Lytechinus pictus: one gene and its partner. The protein of the gene in region 2 interacts with the protein of the main gene of each other region in a pairwise test. Links are inferred from orthologs where the notes say so. Each region holds a gene or a part of one and is shown on either strand. Other genes may lie near its edges.

Evidence for each region. The genes of interacting proteins can lie anywhere in the genome.
Region 1: the proteins of PAN2-PAN3 deadenylation complex catalytic subunit PAN2-like (region 2) and PAN2-PAN3 deadenylation complex subunit pan3-like interact in binary tests that used the Drosophila melanogaster proteins (3 or more experiments, as listed by UniProt). The link is inferred for Lytechinus pictus from reciprocal best matches to the Drosophila melanogaster genes PAN2 and PAN3.

The regions. Positions count from the first base shown.
Region 1 is NC_087249.1:48,655,027-48,658,784, forward strand, and holds the start of PAN2-PAN3 deadenylation complex subunit pan3-like, read right to left. Parts: upstream 2,948-3,758; 5' UTR 2,864-2,947; coding exon 2,857-2,863; intron 1,027-2,856; coding exon 929-1,026; intron 476-928; coding exon 373-475; intron 1-372. UniProt on the Drosophila melanogaster protein: Regulatory subunit of the poly(A)-nuclease (PAN) deadenylation complex, one of two cytoplasmic mRNA deadenylases involved in general and miRNA-mediated mRNA turnover.
Region 2 is NC_087257.1:8,240,986-8,244,743, forward strand, and holds the start of PAN2-PAN3 deadenylation complex catalytic subunit PAN2-like, read right to left. Parts: upstream 2,377-3,758; 5' UTR 2,357-2,376; coding exon 2,197-2,356; intron 1,536-2,196; coding exon 1,393-1,535; intron 1,034-1,392; coding exon 864-1,033; intron 1-863. UniProt on the Drosophila melanogaster protein: Catalytic subunit of the poly(A)-nuclease (PAN) deadenylation complex, one of two cytoplasmic mRNA deadenylases involved in general and miRNA-mediated mRNA turnover.

The sequences.
Region 1 (3,758 bases), on a different chromosome or scaffold from region 2:
TGTATTCTACAGACCCTATTGCACAAGCTTATTGATAAATCATTGTGATTTGCACAATTGATTGCGCATAATATTAATAACCAAGCACAAAAATCAGCCCTAAAATCACACACTACGCTTTGTGATGCATACAGTGTACAGTCCGAGTACTGTTAAATACGGTATACCTTTTCTCACACCATTTTCTTAAACCCGGACTATCATCAACCTCATACTATCCTTAAACCAGTAAGCTAAGCTGAACTCCAGACTTTAGGTGGGGCTAAAATGTAATTTAGCCTTACCTATAGTATGGGGTTCAGGAAAACTTTGCCGGTGAGAATAGGGTACAGTATAAGGAATCAACATGGAAAATAAATAAGGGCAACCAACCTGGTTGGAAAATGGGCGTTTCGTCTCTCTTTTGCCCGCTTGGTGCTGACGATGCCGGTGATCCCGTATATGTTGACAGGCTCGATCCCACTGAATGCGATCGCTTTAAAACAATAAAAATTCGAACAATGTCAAGTATATTTATGAAGAGAACATAAAAAAATGACTTTAGGGGCTGAATATCTCTATGATTATTGCTTCCCATTTTTCAATTCAATTCTTCTATTACATACATGTATGCCTTCCAAAGGCAGCACCAGTTAGAAATTACAAGTGTGACAAATGCATGTAATAACTTTTGAACATGAAAGTTTACCATTCATTTTCTCATGAAAGCTTCTGTAAAGCAATAAGAAAGGTCCGCATTTAAGCTATAGCTAAACATCACATCGATTAATCAAAGTGATGTAAATTCATTTGATATTTTCATGCAATCTATTTTATTTTCAAAATAACTAAAGAAACCGCCACAAACAAACAAGCAATAAACATTTTCATAAATTAGTATCAATAAGAATCCTTTTAACTGTCTGTGGACTGATCATTATTACAGTACCTGCATAAGATGCTGGAGTTTGCTGGTTTGTGGACCATAGTTGTCACTGTCAAACGGAGCAGTGAAGAAATGATCTGGTGCCATATGAGGGTCTGCCACTAAAAAAACAAAAAAATAAATGAAAATATAAAGCTGCAAAGGTTAAATATTATCACTCATCTCTATCAACAGTCACAATTAGGAACAAATTTTCTAATTTCAATTTGATTTTCAGATCCGGGTAATTGCTTGATTTTTTTTTTTTTTCGTGGGGGGGGGGGGGGTGCTAGGCCTGCCGGCTAGTTATTTTCTCAAGAAATTATAAAATGCACAGCAGTATTAACACAAATACATGTATCTTCATTCATACTCATTTTGCCGGTATACGGAGTATTATTTTCAATATATTCTTGAATATTGTTTGTGGCAGATTTGGGGGCAAATCTGGAAGATTGCCCCGAAGCATTCAATTGTGAAATTTTAGAGGCAAAGGGGCTGTGAGGAGTGTAAATTTTGTTTCGTGTACAGATACATGTATTTCCTACATAGATGTTCCCTCAACAGGAATACTGACATTGTTTGGACAAAAAGTAATCTTGGCAATTGTAAGGGATGGGCAATACATGTAGTTTATGTACAGTGTAAGGCATTGCTCTTTATAAAGTTCTACATGTAAGCAGTGACAAATTGATCTGGTGCCATGTGAGAGTCTGCCACTAGAAACAAATGAAAATATGAAGGCTGTAAAGGTCAAAATTCACAATAAAAAGAAAATATTGAAGAACTTGACTTGCCAGGGATACATTTACATGATATTGAACACAACTTTGTTTATAACTTTAAGCTGTATTCCTGTAGCACAAATTCCAATGGCCAGCTGATTGCATTACCACCCACTATTGAAAATTTTCTCTTTAATATTCATAATATTTCATCTATATTTACTGACACTGGGAAAAATACTTATTTCTTTTCTTCCAGGGCTACTTTTGAACTCACCAGCCCAATTTCCCTACATTGTCTGACAATTTACATTGGACCCTATGGAAATTTCTGTGACTCTTTTTATTACTCTTCCAGACTCTGTACAGTGTACACTGCTTGGTATTTCAAGGGCAAATTTACCACGAGCCGGCAAGCCCCCCATATAATTTTTTGATAATTGATAAACATATTCAATGGATATCTGAATAAGAAAATTGCTAAGGAAATCAATAGGTGACGATCAATTACATATATATAAAAAATAATAACAAAGTGACAAAACTTCATTAACAGAATAGTTATGATACTCTTGAAACGATCAAATTCTGATGATAATCATCATTAGCTTGAAAGCATTTCATGGAGCAAATAGTGACTTGCACTGAAAACTGATAAGCCCCCGAAATCCTTTTCGGATTTGCTTACAAATTTGGTTAGTGAGAATCACTGGCATGATGCAGATGAATAAATGGCAAGTCCAGATATTCTATTTCTAAACAATAATATAGATATTTTACATGTAGGGCCCGTATCATTATCAATTTATCTGAAAGCATTCATATATGGTACATTAGTACATTATATGGTACATTATTAGAATGTTACAAAATAAAGGATTATTTTGAATCCTTTCAAGACATTCCAAGCTCATACATGTTGCAACATTTTCATTAAAAATATGAAATAAAATTGATAAATTTTGCAAGAGTCACAATTTGGGTAAATAATTTATTGGCACTATCAAGAAATTGGGAACCACGGTGCATCATTTTGTACAGCAGTGCTGTATTCAGTCATGCACATGGTTCCATTTCTACCTCCATCCCCTTTAGATCCAAGTGCGTGCGTACAAATCAACCACACAATTTGGCCCAAATTTTTCTCCTACATGTACTTTATTAGCAAAGTCAAAGAGCAAGGCATGCATCGCTAAAAACTAAAGAAGTGCCAGACTTTACACTTACGATCCATCTCGAGTTTTTACTGTGACTGTGTCAGTGTGACTGAGATTTGTGTTTAAAAGATGAGTTTTTGAGTTAGCCTAGTTTAGAATGAAGTCGATAGAGGTGAATCAATGGCTGTGCTCTGCGATCTTGGCACAGACATTCACATTAACAGAACTTCAAAAGATGCTCAAATTAAAAAATGCACATCATGTCTGTCAATTCTCATTTTCATTTTCAGAAATACTGTGATTTTGAGGTCAGTCAAGCCCTGCTGAAGAGATCCAGTTCTGTAAATCCTGTCCTTGGCTTGGAACTGTAGTCTGTACTCTCACCAACTGCAACACAAGTGCACAGGCACAGCTCAGCTCAGGCACCACAGACACAGCCAGTTGCACTTGCTCAGGTCAGCTCGCTCAAGTCAATGCTGTTTACATTCGCTCCAACACTAATGACTTATGCACTGATGGGGATGGGGGTTGACGCCACTCGAATCGAAGCCGGTGAGATGCGACACTTTTCCACCGCCTAAATTCTTGATGCTATCTTCCTTGGATTTACAAAATCACAACATTTCCCCACTTATCTTGGTACTATGTAGTCCTGAATGGCGGTGAAGTCAACATGGCATTTCCCGAAAGCGATGAATTTAACCTGAAATTTTCCATATGTGTAGATGTATTACGGAGGAGGAGCGTCCATTCATACATGTAGTTCAATTATTACACATAAAAATGCATTGACGATCTCGTAAAAAATAATAATGAATTTAGTCTACCGTAGATGGGGTACGTAAACGAGAAAGGGGGGGTGGGAGGGGCACTAATGTTCTGCTAAATGGTGACGGGCGGGATTTTTCCCTCAATTTTATCATGTCTTGTGTTTCTGTTGGATCAGAGAGAGAAAGGCTACGGGCGGATATT
Region 2 (3,758 bases):
ATACCGGTAAATGTACATGTATACAGTGTTTCAACAGGAATTTTAGTAAATATCCAAGGCTCGACTTGAGCAATAGCCCAGAGGCCCAGGGAAACCTACATGAAAATTGAGAGTCGGGCCACCAAAATTCTGTGAAAGCCAAGACTTGGTGGCCCTGTTGGGCTACCAAAGTTTTGATAATTTGTAATGTTTTCTATTGTTTCAGGGCCACCAAATTTGATTTGCAGGCCACCGAATTTGATTTGCGGGCCACCAAAAATATGAAACTGATGATTTTTGGTGGACCGATCGGGCTAACCAAGAAAAACGTTGGTGTGGTGCCTTGAAATATCAAATCGAGTGCATCCTTCATGTGATTGCATATGGAAAGAGTTCAAACTAAGCCACATGAAGATATGTCAGGTGTCTTTAATGATGGATAATTGAAAACAAAAACAATTGGAATGCTCCAAGCAGTCTCGCTGGTATTACTAAGTTCAATATAGTACATGAAGTAGTGTTGAATTTCTGATAATCAAATGACTGTCCACTGTACATACATTTTTGTCCAAGTCTTATGAAATATGATCTTGCTCTTGCAATATTATGATGACCTTAGGTCAAGATGTTGACCTTGACAACCCCATCACTGCTGGACAGGCACCGAAGAAATAGTGCTGCCTATGTCTCATATCTGCAAAGTAATTGTTCAACAAACACTCTTTTTTTTTTACAATTTCTTCTGGACCGGTATTAAGCTTGGCAATGATCTTAGAACAAATTTCTACGATTGAATGCATTGACCACAATGTATCTATTGAATCATAAAAAAATCGGACCTACAATCAATCACTTAACTTTGTGTAACAGGACCCTGGACTTACTTGCAATCAAACACTCTCGTGCCTTGCCTGGCATTGCAGCGGAGGCCGTTGCTGTAGAGCGAAAGGACACCGCCAGGGAAGGTGGATATGTCTCGGATGGGGTTGGTCGGGTGTACCTGGAATGATGTGTACTTTTGCATCTGGGAGCCGTAGTATGATGTCACGTGACCCTTGGGGTAAATGACAAATGGATGATTGTTCAGTATTTTAGAATGGAGGAGATTTATAATAAAATGAAGTTGTGTAGGGCCTAATGGGATAACATAAGAAGCTAAGGTGACTACCCAGGGTCAAAATGACATCATCGTCATAATATGGATTATCATCATCATCATTGATCATCATCATCATCATCGATGAACATTCTTAACACCATCCTCAAAATCATTCTCAACATCACCATCATCACCATCACCATCATCATCATCCTAATTGATCATCATCGTCCTCCTCATCATAATCACCGTCCTCCTCCTCATCATCATCATCATCATCATTAGCTTTAGAAACAATTGCTGTCTTCACTCACCCCTTGGTTTCCGACCCAGACGAGTTCTTCTTGCGTATCAGCCATGATGGTGGAGACCCCAAACCTGTCGCCCCCGTCCACCATCACACTCCGGAGCTCCTGGTACATCCCACTGTTCCCTATGTGAAGTTGACTGTGACTCCCTGGTGGAAGAACGAAAGGAAAGGGTGGATACCCATTATCACAACTGTGGAGAGGACTCTCATTTAACCTGGGCTTGAGGTTCTCACCACCGTCGTCGAGGCTGTGCACATTCTTAAAACATTAATGCAGATCAAGCCAGGTATACGCCATACCAGACCATGGATTTCAACCTCAACCATAAAGAACATGGCCTCCTCTGTTTGAACTCAAGAATATTGGAGTTCATAAATGATAGAACTCTTTTGAGGAAAATCTCGGGCTTAAAGTCCTATAGATGTATTCTAGTTTGAAAGTTATTGCATTTTGCAAAATGATCATTGGAACACTGACACTTTCTTATCATTATAAGAGTGATATTTTCATTTTAAAAGATGCATGCATTTAATATGAATTTCAAAGCTCTAACCTGACACACAAAAAAGAATGAAAGGGCATAAATCAATCCAGGGCCATGGTTGGATGCCGTATCGATTGGCCTCAGTGTCCCTTAGACTTGCCTTGAATATTTTATGTGTCCTGTTTTATTTTTCCCATATGTGCTGCAATATTAAAATGTGCCCGATAGAAAAGGTGCTTGTCATGAAAATATTAAAATTCTGGAAGGAAAAGTGAAAAAAATGAAAGAGATATCATTTTCCCCTCACAATTTTGTGACCTTACCATTGACATAGTCCTCCACGACGGGTGGGCCGCCATGATCCTCTGGTCCGTAGCCCCCTTCTACCATCATCGGAGGCCGCACACCACCGAGGCTGTGGTATTCATTGGTAAAGTCATGGGCTGGTCCATACTCCAGCTCGCCAGGGGGAGGGAACGCCATCCTGTAAATGATGAGGTAGAGTGGAGCAGAGTAGAGACAGATGGAAGAAAAGGAAGGAAAGGGTAAGAGATATAAAGTACAAAAACAGGAAGGAAAAGAGAAGGAAGATATGGTGAAGAGAAAAGGGTTGAGGAGGAGGATGGGGTAAGAGATAAAAGAACGAGAACAGGAAGAAAAGAGGAGGAAGATAAGGTGGATAGAAGATGAAGAAGAAGGAATAGGATTGGATGTCAAAGAACAAGAACAGAAAAGATAAGATGGAGAGAAAAAGATTGCTAAATTGTATGCAATAACAGTCGCAATCAGGACAAAAAGTCCTTATGGCCAAGGGCCCTGGGAGCAGGGGGGAGGCTACTCAAATAATAACAATACCGAGTTGTGCCACACCAAATTTGAAAATAGGCCCGGTGGTCTGGAACTAAATCTTGGTTTTAAAATGGGGGTATCGATCCGAAACGGCTCTTGGATAAACAATAATTTGATTAAAACCGCGGCCTTCTGTAAGGTTTAAATTGGGTTAAGTAATATCCAGAGGTCCCAGGACCCCTAGCAAAATGTGGGGGGTAACAAGGGTTTGGCCCATGACGCCGAAATGTTCTGCAACCAAGAATAAAAAGAAAATGAGGAAAGGAAAAAATATGATCATTGTCAAAATCTATCTCAAAGTTAGATTCTCATGAAAAGTCTTTTTCTCGCTCGCTTTGCTCACTCGGGACTTACATTACGTAACTTTTATTTTACACACGCGGCATATGCTGTGCCCCCTCTTATTCATATACCCTTGTTACGCCCCTGCACAGACTCGTCTACACTGATTTCGTTATGAGCGTCATTATAAAATTATAACAAAATGAACGCCTTGAATAAAGGCCAATATAAAGCCTTCAACAATAAGCCTAGAGATCGAGACTCGCGAGGATCACGTGACAACTCGCGGCCATATTAGCTAATATGCCCAGCCGCCATTAATACCGCTCGTCTAAGTAAAAAATCCGGGACGGGCGCAAAACGCACACATATGAACACACGTGTACAGTGCTTCGCGAAGCGAAGTGTGTTCATATGTGTGCGTTTTGCGCCCGTCCCGGATTTTTTTTTGTTGGTAAAGCTTTACGCGGTATATATAAATCTTAATTTCACTACGACGAGCGAATAGGTGAGCGCGGCGCAGTGCATAATACGTAGGCATCTAAGCTTTCGTGGTTCGAATCTCAACAAGGTTCCTTTTTTTTAAGGGGATCGGGGATGTGAAGTATTTCGGTGCTATTTCTAAAGGTCGACATTCGTTTTTATTGTGTATTTCATGAACTTCAACAACTTTTCTATATTGCTTAAATCCGTATTTTCAGGAAATTTGTCACTCTATACTAGCACCTTAATATGCCCAAAAGAATTTTGAATA